Saccharomyces cerevisiae S288C: one gene and its partners. The gene in region 1 interacts genetically with each later gene. Each region holds a gene or a part of one and is shown in the gene's direction. Other genes may lie near its edges.

Evidence for each region.
Region 2: mutations in PIP2 (region 1) and ADY2 together harm fitness more than expected from each alone (negative genetic interaction), as found in Saccharomyces cerevisiae (one large-scale study listed by BioGRID).
Region 3: mutations in PIP2 (region 1) and NTF2 together harm fitness more than expected from each alone (negative genetic interaction), as found in Saccharomyces cerevisiae (one large-scale study listed by BioGRID).

Annotation. Positions count from the first base shown.
Region 1 is NC_001147.6:1,017,201-1,027,091, reverse strand, and holds PIP2 (oleate-activated transcription factor PIP2), read left to right. Parts: upstream 1-3,879; coding exon 3,880-6,870; downstream 6,871-9,891. Other genes in the region: RAD17 (Rad17p), read right to left, coding at 1-249; SCP1 (Scp1p), read right to left, coding at 483-1,085; YOR365C (putative flavin adenine dinucleotide transporter), read left to right, coding at 1,520-3,631; PRE10 (proteasome core particle subunit alpha 7), read left to right, coding at 8,346-9,212; PRT1 (translation initiation factor eIF3 core subunit b), read left to right, coding at 9,440-9,891. UniProt on the Saccharomyces cerevisiae protein: The PIP2-OAF1 heterodimer acts as a transcriptional activator to induce the transcription of genes encoding proteins involved in fatty acid beta-oxidation, a response called oleic acid induction, when cells grow on fatty acids as sole carbon source.
Region 2 is NC_001135.5:131,773-135,107, reverse strand, and holds ADY2 (Ady2p), read left to right. Parts: upstream 1-1,983; coding exon 1,984-2,835; downstream 2,836-3,335. Other genes in the region: putative ATP-dependent permease ADP1, read left to right, coding at 1-1,384. UniProt on the Saccharomyces cerevisiae protein: Transporter protein required for ammonia export and acetate uptake and resistance. Necessary for up-regulation and down-regulation of meiotic plaque (MP) component levels in a dependency on external acetate. Has a role in ascus formation.
Region 3 is NC_001137.3:170,596-172,992, forward strand, and holds NTF2 (Ran GTPase-binding protein NTF2), read left to right. Parts: upstream 1-1,519; coding exon 1,520-1,897; downstream 1,898-2,397. Other genes in the region: GTP-Rho binding exocyst subunit SEC3, read right to left, coding at 1-1,223; YER010C (bifunctional 4-hydroxy-4-methyl-2-oxoglutarate aldolase/oxaloacetate decarboxylase), read right to left, coding at 2,039-2,397. UniProt on the Saccharomyces cerevisiae protein: Facilitates protein transport into the nucleus. Interacts with various nucleoporins and with Ran-GDP. Could be part of a multicomponent system of cytosolic factors that assemble at the pore complex during nuclear import.

The DNA of each region.
Region 1 (9,891 bases):
ACAAAGTTTCATGTGATCCTCAGTTTCATTTCTATACGAATAAGACATAAATAGCTCCCGAGATAACAGTAGTTGGATTTTTATCACATGATTATTCTCCCTGACAAATGACAGCCCATCAGCATCAATGAATATAAGCACATCGTCTTTAGAACCAAAAGGTGTTAAACAACTTAAAGCAGTTGTGATATGTTCTAAGTGCACCGTTGAGGCAGAAAACTTGTTCGCTAGCTCACTGTTGATTCGCATAGTTGAAATCCTTCAACTACTTTGTTTCCACACCGTTCTGTGAGATTGATTTGTATAATCACATTTTTACCGGTAACGTTAACTTTTGTTACGCGTCTCTAGCCACCTTAGTGTTTATGTAGGAAAACTTTGATGGAAAACTAAAATATATCAAAGGAACTTTGGTTGCGTATATAGGGTTCTTAAATGTTTATTTATCAATTTCTGCCAGAGAAAGTGTTAATAATAATTCTCTAAACTATATCTCTCCGTTGTCCTAACACCACTCCTTCAGTAGCCTGAGATGCACCTTTCATATAACCGTATTCAAAAGTGCTCCATCCAGTACCATCTTGTAGATGTTTTGGTTTAGACTTAACCGGGGGTCTTGGCTTCTTTGTTGACAGTTGTGGTCCTAGAACTGGAAATCTATCTGTATGTTTTTTGTTGGCGTAACGAGATAGTGACTTCAACGTTTGGAAAACAATGGCAGGATCCTTTTTCTCAAAAAGATCAATTGTCTGAAACAGTTCATCTTCAGGCACACCATATTTTCTCGAAAATGATAAAAATTGGGAAATTTGATCCATTTGAACAAATGGCATTTTAGAGCTCTTCCAACTAATATGGTTAGCTTCTCCTGTGTCTGCTTCATATAAAATATTTGCCAGCTTACATAGGACTGTTCCATCTTTCAAGCATTCCAATAAGTCTCCAGGAGGAGCTATCTCTTTTAGGACAGATTTATATACCCATATTTTGATATTTTGAATTGCTTCCGGTGAAAATTTGCTTTCTCTTAGTTGTCTCAAATCTTCATCTAAGGATGTGACATCTGCCTTCTTATCGTAACTCATCGGTAAACTTTAGCTGTACGCTTACAAAGAAGTCATTTACTTAGACACTACTTATATCTTAGCTTTACTATTTGCGTTTATACTCCTTTTGGAACTCCACGGATGTCCAATTACACGTGATGAATGGGTGTTCAGCATATGTTACAACTATAATGCATGACATGATGAATATGTAGTGGTAATCCATGCTGTATTTTGTTATTACTGTAGCATGGTATTGATGCATTTTTAATTTTTATAATGCTGCTATGGAGCGATCCATATCGACGACAGCTTTAGTTCATGGCGGTCCATTTATATTTTTGTGCCCGAATTACTGACACATTTAAAAAATGATGCAGTGTCAATATTTTGGAAGGATGATGAAGCAAAGTCGTAATGCTATTTTAAATAATATTTAACCTCTCTGATTTATAGATGTAAAGAGAATAAGTATGCTTCCCATTAAAGTCTTCTCTTTATCTCGGATTTTTGTTTTGCTAGCAATCTTCCGACAAATACACGCTATTTCCATTAACAGCTCTACTTTCCAGGTTTCTAACTCTTTTACACTACTGAACAACGCATCGACTCTATTCCCAGTACCATTTGATGCATATACTAAAGAATATCTAAGGACTTCGGCTCTGTTGACTTGTGCTAAAGACTCACAGTTTTCTGCATCGTATTTCGAAGCTGCTTTTTTCCCGAGAAATAATACTCTATTCTTTAATGTTGAAGCACAAACAATTATGAGCGAAAACATAACCATCAAGGCAGAATTGATTGCATATGGTCTCAATGTTTATACCAAAGTTTTTGATCTATGTGGAATCCAAGATAATTTATTATGTCCGTTGAAGCCGGGAAATATAGAACTCATGGGAAGTTATTATGTTGAGGCCGCGGTAGCTAGCCAAATACCAAGCATAACATATAATATACCTGACTTAGACGCATATATTGTGGTGACAGCATACTCCACTATTGATAAAGAATTTACCAAACCTCTAGCATGTGTACAAGTGATGTTATCAAATGGTAGAACAGTCCAAACAGAGTATTTATCGTGGAATCTAGTGATATTGACAATTTCCGGAATTATGTTTTCAGTGGTTTATTCTTTGCAAGGTTATACGGTTACTTCAACAAGACTGGCGTCTTATTCAATATCGCTACTTTTATATTTCCAAAATTTGGCTATTTTAGCTATGATTAGTGTATCATTTTTACCGCCTATTGTCGCCGCTTGGACTCAAAATTTCCAATGGTCAATGGGAATAATAAGGATAAATTTTATGCAGCGGTTATTTGACTGGTATGTTGTCGCAACATCTGGGTCCCCCACCGTTGTATACCGCAATAAAGAAGTTTTATCGATCAGTGTTCAAAAAAGATCCTTGAACAGTAAAATCATATCAGCGTCAAGTAATTTAAATGGTATTGAAAGTTCCCAAAAAAATGATTTATTATACACTTCAAATTTGAGAAATTCAAATGACTATCTGTCAAAAATTTTAGTATTAAGAGGTATTAAAAGGGTGTCTTACAAAGCTGGAATTGAGATATCAAATTTCTTTTTAACGGGATTTTCCTTCTTTATCATATTCATTTGTATGATAATATTGGCGTTTATTATCTTCAAAACATTTTTGAAAGTACTTCAGAAGTTTAAAGTTAAGACAATTAGATATTTACACTTCCACACACATTGGAGTGCACTTTTACAGGGGACACTATATCGAGCGGTGTTCATAATTTATTCTGAGATATCTCTTTTAGCACTTTGGGAGTTCACTCAAACAGACTCAGCAGCTACCTTAGTGGAGGCAATCGTTGTTTTCATTTTGATTACAGTCTTGTTATCATCCGCAAGCGTAAGAATATGGAGGAAGATGATCAAGTCTAAGAAAATATTTGGCCAGCCAAGCTATTTACTCTTCAGTAGCTCGAAATTCTTAAACAAGTTCGGCTTTCTTTCCTCTCAATTTAAGTCTACAAAAGTCTGGTGGTTAATGGCGACCTCTGCACACATGCTTATTAGGTCTATACTAGTGGGTTCTCTACAAGCGCACGGAAAATCTCAATCTATTGGTATCTTTTTGAATGAAGCTATCTATCTCATCCTTTTGTGCTGGATGCAACCTTACATGGATAAAACAACCAACTTCTTCAATATTAGTATCCATTCACTGAATTTAGTGAACGCATTTTTTTTCTTATTTTTCAGTAACTTATTTCAGCAGCCCATAGCTGTGTCTTCTTTTATGGGACTAATTTTCTTTTTTCTAAATGCAGCGTTTTCTTTGTATCTCTTCATTTTCATATTGATATGCTTTACGATGGCAATATACTACAAACACCCTGATACAAGATACAAACCTATTGATGATCAAAGACGATCCTTTTTGAAGGGTGAAATGGATGATGATGCGGTTTACGAATCGGTCCCGGAACTGCACGAAATGAAGAAAGCCGTTCTTGAATGCAACGGTATTCAAAAGCCGCAGATCAATAAGATTGACCTTTGTAAACAAAATTCGAACTGTGAATATCTGTATATGTGAATAAATAAAATCGTGACTAATACGTCCGGTAGGATTTGCCTTCCTGCAAAATTTCTTCTGATTTTGGAATTTGAAAGGTTGTAAGACCATCTCGGAACTAAATATAATCTCCGGAGTATCTCCAACGAAGAAAACATAAAGCGTTGTTAGGACTTAATAGAGGTCAGATAAAGAAAATCTACTGAAACGTATAGAGCGGATGAAATATCACTTTCTGATCTTGCTGAACAAAATTTCTTCGATAAAAGATGTACTTTACAGACGAATCATCACCGGCAATGAATAGAGTAGGTAAAAAAAGGAATAGACTTTCTTTTGTTTGCCAAGCTTGTAGAAAAGCAAAGACGAAGTGTGACCAGGAAAAACCTAGATGTGGCAGATGTACTAAACAAAACCTCTTTTGTATATATGATGTCGCCAGACAGGCGGCCCCTAGGAATCCGAATAAGGATGCCACCATAGCGAGACTGAAAAAGGAGATTCGTTACTGGAGAAATAAAACCGTGGATTTGACTCAAGAAAAGAAAGACTTCTACACTGCATTGAAAAGGCCGACTGAAGAATTAGCTGCTAGAAGGACATGTAAAAGCTTGCAGGAAAATAGCTTTCCAATAAGTCTTTATAAGACTCATCCCAGATTGATTATGACCAAAGTGATGAAAAGAGAAATCAACCCTTTATCTGAGAAGTACTTAATATTTCAAGATACCTTTCTGAAGACATTAATTGCCTCCGTGCTTCTAAGTTGTTCCAGAAACTCCATGATTCCTGCTTTAAATGCAGATATTAGTAGGTCGAGGACACAGCCATGCGTAAAGAATAACGTTGTAAAAATGAGAGAGGTTCTATTGAAAAACTCAAAATACGAATCACAAAGAAAATCCATTAACGAGTTTACGGACAGGCTACTACAGAGAAAGAACCCTGAAGAACAGATTGCGGTAAATAAAGTAATTTCTTTATTATACAGTAACAGGGAATCGTCATATTTAGAGGATACATGCCCCACCGAAAACGACTATTCTGATTTGTTGAAAGGCTACATCAATGAAATCGAGAAAACGCTCCCTCCCAAGGCAATCATTGAACAGTACCTCTCTCATTTCTTTGAGCATATTTTCCACCTAATCCCTTTCGCCAGCAAGGAAATGTTGGAGGAATCAATTCACACAACAGTACAGTATAATGAATTAGGAGAGGTACGACTATCGATGGGCACAACCCTTATACGAAATAAAATGGAGAATCTGTGTATCTTACTGTTAATTTTGAGGATCGCGTATATCTCTTTGACATTTATAGAAGATAAGATTGAAGATTACAGTCCGTATATTACCAAAGAGATGCTAGAGCAATATCCGATTCAAAGCGAAGTAATTTTCCTAGCGCAGCAGATACTTGCATCGGAAAATTGGTGTGCTTGTGCAAATGAAAATACCATTTCATGCTTACTCTATATCTGGTGTGCATTTGTTTTTTCCCCAACTGAGGGTGATTTTCTGTTAGAACAACCGTCGGATGTTATAATTAACCTTGTCATACTAATAGGGACGTCTATCGGATTACATCGTGACCCATCTGACTTTCCAGCCTTGAACCACCCCGAAGCTTCAGACAAAAGGCTGCTAAATTTACGAAGGATACAGTGGCTATCAATTATCTCTATGGCAACTCTGGAGTCAAGCCTGAAGGGTAGACTATTGGTCTCACCCCTTTCAATGATTGATCTTTTCATTGACGTTCGGGATCCCAATTGTGTAGAAATCTATAAAAAAAGGGTTAAGAAGGATCTAACAGGTTCCGAATCGGATGAGCAACTGCTCGAAATCCATGAGATTTTTTTCCATAGGGCTCAATTAGCATTATTCTTGTCTGATTTGAATAATATAACCATTTCATACAGTGGTTCGGTTCCAATGGATACACTAGAAACTTTACGCGTTAAAGCCAATGAACTTTTAAAAAACAAATTTCAGCTAAGAAGTGTGGATATTAACATCTACGACGAAGAGAAGACATTTCAAAAACTAACGTTCAATTCAATTTTGAATTCTATAAGTTTATCGGGCCAGATCTTGGGTAAATTAATGATGTTAAGGGCCTCAATAGCGCTGATGTTATATTTTGAAACACTTGCAATGGAGAGAAGCGAATGCTTATCCTTCTTCTATAAGTATTTTTTTCAATGTTGTGCCGACACCATTTCCCTAATCAGATTTTTTTTCCTGTATTTCAATGGCAGTTACGAGAAAGTTCTTTCTTCTTTAGTTTGTTTCATCACTACAAAAGTTATTCAATTGGCTGTTCCTACCACGATGTTTACCCTTTTGGTCATCATCATGCGGGTAGAGCTGGCCAAAAATATGCTTCTGGTCAAATGTAACGAATGCAATGCCAGAGGTGACATTAGTGACCTCCCAGAAATAAAGGAGAAAATAAAGTCATTGGACACTATCAAGGAGAACTTCGAGAGGCTTTTGTTGGAAGTATATTTACTTGCGTCCCAAAACCTGAGATTTAAATATTTCTACATTTTCAAGATGTTGACCTTGTTTGACGTATTCATTCAAAGGCTGAGGAAAGGTCAATTATTTTCTGGTTTGTTTGTCAAAGTAGACAAAGACTTGACTACCAAAAAAATTGCCACAATGTTGGAGTTGACACTTGGAATTAACTTGGACAAGTCTGACCATTTAATTGATAGACTAAAGGGCAAAAATCTCACTGTTAACTTTACCCTTGATCAATTATACCAAATCATCAAAGAATTTGACAGAATAAAAAACATCGGTGTTGCTGACCCACAAAATTCTCTGAATCCATCAAAACCAAACATGAAAGATAATACACCCACAATTGAACTTTTACTCAACTCCAGCGTGGAAAATGAGAGTGTACCACCGTACAGCAGCTCAAATGACCCTACAAATGTTGGTAATGCCTCCACTTATAGCTTAGCACACAATATTAGTAACCAAAATAATGAGGAAAACATGCCTCCGTCAATTGGTTCGAGTGAAAGTAACCGTGCCGCTCCTAATCTAAACTTTATGCCGATAAACAATAACTACAATAACAGTGGTTCGAACATTAATAACAATGACAATGTTAAGTTACCGAGTAATTTTAAAAACTACTATGACCCTCCCATGTCTTCTTTGGACATATCCATGGATGTTCCCGATATTTTTGGTAGCCTTGATTTCTTCGATTATGACCTACTTTTCCAGAACGACTAGGAAGTCTTTTCCAGTTTTCCTGAGATGTATACGGCCACTTCATTGCGCCTAATACGGTAGAGTGTCGACATAGTTATTCTATCAGGTTGTATCATGACAAGAACTTGTGAGCTTTCCGCTTAGATATGGCTCAAATAATATACTGTAAATTATGGTGCCTTTTGATAGCGCATTGAATTGGGACTGGAAATAATGTCAACTATTGCAGAGATAGAAAAGAAATTCAAGACTTTGTTTTGTATTTTATTTAATATATATATTATACATAAGTTAAAAGCGCAGTATATAAGGTAGGTAATATCGCTGCCATCACGGTAGGAACGCCAGTTTATTCCATTTACAATAGGAAGATCTGAAACTAAAACAACGGCCGTGCTTATAAAGCATTACCAGTATGAAAGTCCTAAACAAGAAGGAAGCACCTCCTCCAAAGACGAACCCACCTTAATTATATAACTTTTAATGTCTAGGTTATAAAACATTGACAGCTCAGACGATAGAAAAACATGTGATACGAATCATTTCGCCGTTGTGTGTTTTAAGAAGAAAAATGTTAATGTTAGCAAGACGAAATCACACGTATAAATAAATATAGCAGCACGACCAGCTTGGAAGTTCAAAAAAAAAAAAAAAGTGAAGATAGACAATCATAGGCACAATTTCTGATGGTAGTGAACATATAATGGGCAGACCAAGCTCTAGCAACTTAATGCAGAGAAAGATTTGAAGCTACCGCCGCGTGTTCAGCGTGACTCTCTATAATAGGCCATTTATGTACAAGATCTTCTGCAATCCTATCAAGTATTCGTACTACTATTTTCCCTGCCAATTAGACGTGATGAAAAATATTGCTGGGCTTTGGTTTGAAAACGACTATTTAAATAAATATTACCTTTCCTTTTCTTCAATTGTTTCTCATCTCCTTCGGCCTCCGTTAAGTATATGTTTTTTTACGCGTTGTCAATGACAATACCGCAGGATGCGAATGTGTGACTTCGTAATCATCGGTGTGAAAAATACTCTAACTTTAAACAAAGGTAACATCTAAACTGTCTGGAAATATGCAGCTATTCCCATGTATACACACTAGAAAGAACAGTATTTCCCAGGTCCCAGAAGTTCTCTGTATATGTAGTCCTACCCGTAATTTACCCTTTGAAGAGATAATCTGAGCACTCAGATTTCGACCCTGATGGGGTCACTTTTCTGAATCATTGCTGACATTGCTTCTGAAAAGTGTTGCCTGTGTCTTTATTCCACTTATGAGTTGGTAAGCTTCCTCACAATTTATAATGGGTTCCGATAGCTAAATCACGTTTAACGAAGATTTCGCCGCCCCTCTAAATCGGTGGCAAAAATAAGAAAGTAAGTGGTAATAGTGGCGGTAGAGGGTTTATTTGGTAGTGCAGTTGTAAAGCTTTCAAACACATTCGAGCGTCGCATCATCAAATTAACAAAAGCATAACTCTTCAGCAATGACATCAATTGGTACTGGTTACGATCTTTCCAATAGTGTTTTTTCCCCCGATGGTAGAAATTTCCAAGTAGAGTATGCCGTCAAAGCAGTCGAAAACGGTACCACATCAATCGGTATAAAGTGTAACGACGGTGTAGTCTTTGCAGTGGAAAAGCTCATTACGTCTAAACTGCTGGTCCCACAAAAAAATGTCAAGATTCAAGTCGTAGACCGTCACATCGGTTGCGTTTATTCAGGTTTGATTCCTGATGGTAGGCACCTGGTTAATCGTGGTCGTGAAGAAGCCGCCAGCTTCAAAAAGCTGTATAAAACGCCCATTCCCATTCCTGCATTTGCAGACCGTTTAGGACAATATGTGCAGGCGCACACTTTATACAACAGTGTTAGACCGTTCGGGGTCAGTACCATCTTTGGTGGTGTAGATAAAAATGGTGCTCATCTTTACATGTTGGAACCAAGTGGCTCTTATTGGGGCTACAAGGGGGCTGCCACTGGGAAAGGTAGGCAATCTGCGAAGGCTGAATTGGAAAAATTAGTTGACCATCATCCAGAAGGTCTTTCAGCAAGAGAGGCCGTTAAACAAGCTGCAAAGATTATCTATTTGGCACACGAGGATAACAAGGAAAAGGATTTTGAATTGGAAATAAGTTGGTGTTCACTGTCGGAAACGAATGGTCTGCACAAGTTCGTTAAGGGCGATCTGCTACAGGAAGCTATCGATTTTGCCCAAAAAGAAATTAACGGCGATGATGACGAGGACGAAGATGACAGTGATAACGTCATGTCCAGTGATGATGAAAATGCTCCAGTGGCTACGAATGCAAACGCTACCACTGACCAAGAGGGTGATATTCACCTAGAATAGGTGACATTCTGATAATACGTTAAGAAGAACCAAAGAGTTGAAATAATATGAACTCACGTGTAACGCCGCGAAACAAAAAATACATTTTAGTACCTTCCATTACATTTTACGTAACTAGATAAACTTCTCATTGTGCACCATCTTATCATTATTACTTGATCGCCTAATACTTTTATTCTTCTGACACCTATTACCCTCCTTTCCATATTTTGGATAGCGGGAAACTAATGAAAAATTTTCTTCCACGCACATTGAAAAATATTTACGAATTATATTTCAATAACATCTCAGTACATAGTATAGTATCTCGCAACACACAGCTCAAAAGGTCAAAGATAATTCAAATGACTACCGAGACTTTCGAAGACATTAAGCTAGAGGACATCCCTGTTGACGACATTGATTTTTCCGACCTGGAAGAACAATACAAGGTCACTGAAGAATTCAATTTCGATCAGTACATCGTCGTTAATGGTGCCCCAGTCATCCCATCCGCCAAAGTTCCTGTTTTGAAAAAGGCTTTGACTTCTTTGTTTTCCAAAGCTGGTAAAGTTGTTAACATGGAATTTCCAATTGATGAAGCCACTGGTAAGACGAAAGGTTTTCTCTTCGTGGAATGTGGCTCAATGAACGATGCTAAAAAAATTATCAAGAGTTTCCACGGTAAAAGACTGGATTT
Region 2 (3,335 bases), on another chromosome or scaffold:
GCCAAGATCAAATATATTTTATTTATTCGATAAATTGGTCCTGTTAAGTAAAGGTGAGATGGTCTATTCCGGAAATGCCAAAAAAGTGTCAGAATTTTTGAGAAATGAGGGATATATCTGTCCGGACAACTATAATATTGCTGATTATTTGATTGATATTACTTTTGAAGCCGGTCCTCAGGGGAAAAGGAGAAGAATCAGAAACATTTCCGATTTAGAAGCTGGTACGGATACTAACGATATTGATAATACGATACACCAAACAACATTTACTAGCAGTGATGGTACAACACAGAGAGAGTGGGCTCATCTTGCAGCTCATAGAGATGAGATCAGATCTTTACTCAGAGATGAAGAAGATGTAGAGGGAACAGATGGAAGGCGAGGTGCTACTGAGATTGACTTAAATACCAAACTACTACACGATAAATATAAAGATAGCGTCTATTATGCAGAGCTTTCACAGGAGATCGAGGAAGTTTTAAGCGAAGGTGATGAGGAAAGTAACGTTTTGAATGGAGATTTACCCACAGGTCAACAATCTGCTGGTTTTCTGCAACAGTTATCGATATTGAATTCAAGAAGTTTTAAAAACATGTACAGAAACCCTAAACTATTATTGGGTAATTATTTACTGACGATCCTATTGAGTTTATTCTTGGGAACACTATATTACAACGTCTCCAATGATATCAGCGGTTTTCAGAACAGAATGGGGCTGTTCTTCTTTATACTAACGTACTTCGGTTTTGTTACATTCACAGGTCTCAGCTCGTTCGCTCTGGAAAGGATCATTTTCATAAAAGAAAGATCCAATAACTATTACTCGCCACTTGCATACTACATTAGTAAGATAATGAGCGAAGTGGTCCCGCTACGTGTTGTACCACCTATACTCTTGTCATTGATTGTTTACCCAATGACTGGTTTAAACATGAAAGACAATGCTTTTTTTAAATGTATTGGAATCCTTATACTGTTTAACCTTGGGATATCGTTGGAAATCCTAACCATCGGCATAATTTTTGAAGACTTGAATAACTCCATAATATTAAGCGTGCTGGTGCTTTTGGGCTCACTACTGTTTAGCGGACTATTTATCAATACTAAGAATATTACAAACGTGGCCTTCAAGTACCTGAAAAACTTCTCTGTGTTTTACTACGCCTACGAATCTTTATTGATCAATGAGGTCAAAACATTGATGCTGAAAGAGAGAAAGTACGGCTTAAATATTGAAGTTCCAGGCGCTACTATCTTGAGCACATTTGGATTTGTTGTCCAAAACCTTGTATTTGACATCAAGATCCTGGCTCTGTTTAATGTGGTGTTTTTAATAATGGGGTATCTAGCCCTTAAGTGGATAGTTGTGGAACAAAAGTAGATAGGCGTCGTATATAGTCTCTTCTTTTACATAAGAAATAATAATTTTTGGCCCCGCAACTTTCCTTATTTTCGAGAGGGTCCACTGCCCGTTGATCCGGAGCTCCGTGGAATAGGCGAGCGGCTGAGTGGTTCTCCAAGCTACGGTTTTTACGTGTAGCCCCATGTGAGCAAGCCAAACAAGGGCCCTTAAAGGCGTGACTACAAAAAGGGGCGGGTTGGAAGGTCATCTGCAGCGAGATACGAAAAGATTTTTTGCCAGATTTGCGGTTGGGCGGCTATTTCGGTATTGTTGGGGTAACAAACGTTGGGGAAGACTGCATTTTCTTACAGCTTTTTTTCGTTATCGCGGGTTGGGCGGCTATGGCGCCTTCTCCTCTGTACTCCAACCTGTCAGAGACACCAAGCTGTATATAAAGCACCTTGGTTGGATCGTATTTCCCTGAGATCTTGCTATAGGTTCATTTTATATATCGTCCAATAGCAATAACAATACAACAGAAACTACTAGCATCTGTTTATAAGAAAAAGGCAAATAGTCGACAGCTAACACAGATATAACTAAACAACCACAAAACAACTCATATACAAACAAATAATATGTCTGACAAGGAACAAACGAGCGGAAACACAGATTTGGAGAATGCACCAGCAGGATACTATAGTTCCCATGATAACGACGTTAATGGCGTTGCAGAAGATGAACGTCCATCTCATGATTCGTTGGGCAAGATTTACACTGGAGGTGATAACAATGAATATATCTATATTGGGCGTCAAAAGTTTTTGAAGAGCGACTTATACCAAGCCTTTGGTGGTACCTTGAATCCAGGGTTAGCTCCTGCTCCAGTGCACAAATTTGCTAATCCTGCGCCCTTAGGTCTTTCAGCCTTCGCGTTGACGACATTTGTGCTGTCCATGTTCAATGCGAGAGCGCAAGGGATCACTGTTCCTAATGTTGTCGTCGGTTGTGCTATGTTTTATGGTGGTTTGGTGCAATTGATTGCTGGTATTTGGGAGATAGCTTTGGAAAATACTTTTGGTGGTACCGCATTATGTTCTTACGGTGGGTTTTGGTTGAGTTTCGCTGCAATTTACATTCCTTGGTTTGGTATCTTGGAAGCTTACGAAGACAATGAATCTGATTTGAATAATGCTTTAGGATTTTATTTGTTGGGGTGGGCCATCTTTACGTTTGGTTTAACCGTTTGTACCATGAAATCCACTGTTATGTTCTTTTTGTTGTTCTTCTTACTAGCATTAACTTTCCTACTGTTGTCTATTGGTCACTTTGCTAATAGACTTGGTGTCACAAGAGCTGGTGGTGTCCTGGGAGTTGTTGTTGCTTTCATTGCTTGGTACAACGCATATGCAGGTGTTGCTACAAAGCAGAATTCATATGTACTGGCTCGTCCATTCCCATTACCATCTACTGAAAGGGTAATCTTTTAAGAGCACGACCTACTAATAACGAGAACTATTGAAATAAAAAAGAGTAGTTTTTTATTTTTCAATTTTTTAATATGATAATTATTTTATGACTTATATAACCACACCAACTAATCGTACTTTTATATGTTTAAATAGAATGGCTGTTTCAGTCGTACACTATTAATAACATTATGTTACTTCGCAATTAAATGTTTTTCAAAGCTAAAACTTCAAAACAAGATATAAACAATGTACAAAAATGATTACGAAAATATAGATGATGTAAGCAAGGTACGGTTATAAACAGTTAACATATAAGTTTACTTCACTTTTTTGCTGACTCCTTTACTTGTCTTCCCTGCACTTTGATTTTACTTCAGAAAAAATAAGATATATGTTTCTGATAAAACTTTTAGGTTAGCGGAGAAGATGTTGCCACGAATATCATGTAATTGAAAGGCAACGAAAGGTCTATCGTTTGCCATTCATAATGTGATTCGACTTGTCTTTTTCATTGTAAC
Region 3 (2,397 bases), on another chromosome or scaffold:
CGTTGACGTTTCAACTCCATTTGCTTTTTAGCCTCCAGTTCCATTTGACGTTTTCGTTCCTCTTCTTCGAGTTGTCGTTGGTGTTCCAATTCCATTTGCCTTTTCCTCTCCTCCTGCTTTATTCTTCTTTCCTCTTCTAATCTTTTCATCTCATTTTCCTTTTGTAACTGAAGTCTTTTTTGCTCTTCTAATCGTCTCAGTTCAGCCTCTTCTTGTTGCTGTTGTTGCTCTAACTCGTATCTTTTATTCACTTCATTCAATGTCGAATTGGAAGAATAGGGGGCCTTATTTAGAGATTTCATTCCTGCATGATATTCCACGCTTGCAGGCGTTGACACTGGATTAACGCTTTCTGTTTCAGACCTTCTTGTCCTCTCAGTAGGTGCTGAAAAGGGGACAGAGCCCACCGATTGGGTAGTGTTTGTCGTGAAATTACTTGTAGGTGACTTTATTGGAGATACGGAACCGGGGCGATTTGTGATGACTGCTCTTTGATAACTCCTCTCGTCAAGATAAAAAAGGGATAAATCCCAATTGACCAATTCAGGGACATGACCTTCGAATGTTTGAATGTATAGAGTAATTAGAGATTTAATGAAAACAGTTCTTTCCTTCGCAGAATTCGTTTCCCAGTAGTATTTTTTACTCATGGTAAGAATGAAGCCTTCAGATATCTCCAGGTCCTTCTCTACTCTTACTAGTTCGGTCAACTGCCAAGTTCTACCAATTTGAAAAGAGCCGTCTGAGTTTTCTCTTGCTTTATGAATTTGTATTAGCTTGGCATTGTTGGGCTTGGCACTCAAAATAAGGAGTCTTTTCTTTTTGTTCTCCAATTTTGAATCTGGAGGAGGTCTTGAACTAGGGAATTTTGAATCTTCTATAATCCGGACATGTGTAATATAATTATTCGGCGGTTCACCTGTCTTATGGTCGGGTCTGGAAAAGCAGCAATTAATTATGGCTTTCCTATCCCTTTCATATTGTTCGGCTAAAAAATTCGAAGTTTGAGAGGAATTTGAAGCTCTCGACACGTTTCTCTTATGCGAATAATTTCCACCAGAAACAGGTGGTGCGGAAGAGGGTACTGCACCTTGACTGACGTTTCTAGAATGGTGAGCACTGCTACCGGATATTGTTCTCTTGTGGAAAAACGATGTGTTTTCATCGTGTGATGTCTCACGACTGTGAGACTTCCTTTTAAAAGGAGACTTCGAGGACCTCATAATATAGAATAAATTGCGTAGCCTTGTTACCTAGCTGGAGATATCTGGCACCGACTCAGTCTTTATGACCGCTTTTTCTTCATAAGCTATGATACTGTTATTGCTATAAGTGTTCACCAAGTTAGTATTTGCCCATTAATACCGGGTGACATAGTCCCACAAGCGTGGTTCTCAAAAAGCAACGAAAAATTTTCTGACTTGGCAAGGTGAGACTTAGGCTGATAAGTAAGTACTTTTTAGTTTTTAGTGTACAATACCCCCTAAGGAACCCAGGTTTTAATACTATTATCTTTATAATGTCTCTCGACTTTAACACTTTGGCCCAAAACTTCACCCAGTTTTACTATAATCAATTTGATACCGATAGAAGCCAATTGGGTAACTTGTACAGAAATGAATCTATGCTAACATTCGAGACTAGTCAATTGCAAGGTGCAAAGGACATTGTTGAGAAATTAGTATCTTTGCCATTTCAAAAGGTCCAACATCGTATCACTACTTTGGATGCGCAACCTGCTTCCCCAAATGGCGATGTCTTAGTCATGATCACTGGTGATCTGTTGATTGACGAAGAACAAAATCCACAGCGTTTCTCTCAAGTGTTCCATTTGATTCCTGATGGAAACTCTTACTACGTGTTTAACGATATCTTCCGTTTGAATTACTCTGCTTAAGGATTTTTTAAGTCACCACAGAAACATGTATTTTCATTTTCGAATATTGTTTAGCATAATTGAAGATGCTTAGCTAACGATGTATAAGGCGATAGCGATAAAGAAGATATATATATATATATATGTATGAAGATAGCGTTTTTAAATGTATTTCTTTAATACTGATCTTCGATCATTTTGAGCTTGTTTGGCGGGAATACCATTCTTAATATCTTCAGAGACAAGTAAATCCACTTCAATTGACTTTTCGATATAGGTAACTAATTTTGAAATGTCAGTCTCTTGAACAGGAATGCGTACTATTCCATTATTGTCACCTGCAATATAATCACCAGGACATATTGTTTGGGTTACGCCATCACTCGTTAAGATTTTCAACTGTACGTTAGTGCCTACGGCTTTAACGACAGCCTTTGGAGCGCAAGATCCAACACCGTAAGCAAAAACGGGATGGTTTAAAGTCCGGTGTTCATCCACATCTCTTATGCGTCCAAAGACTA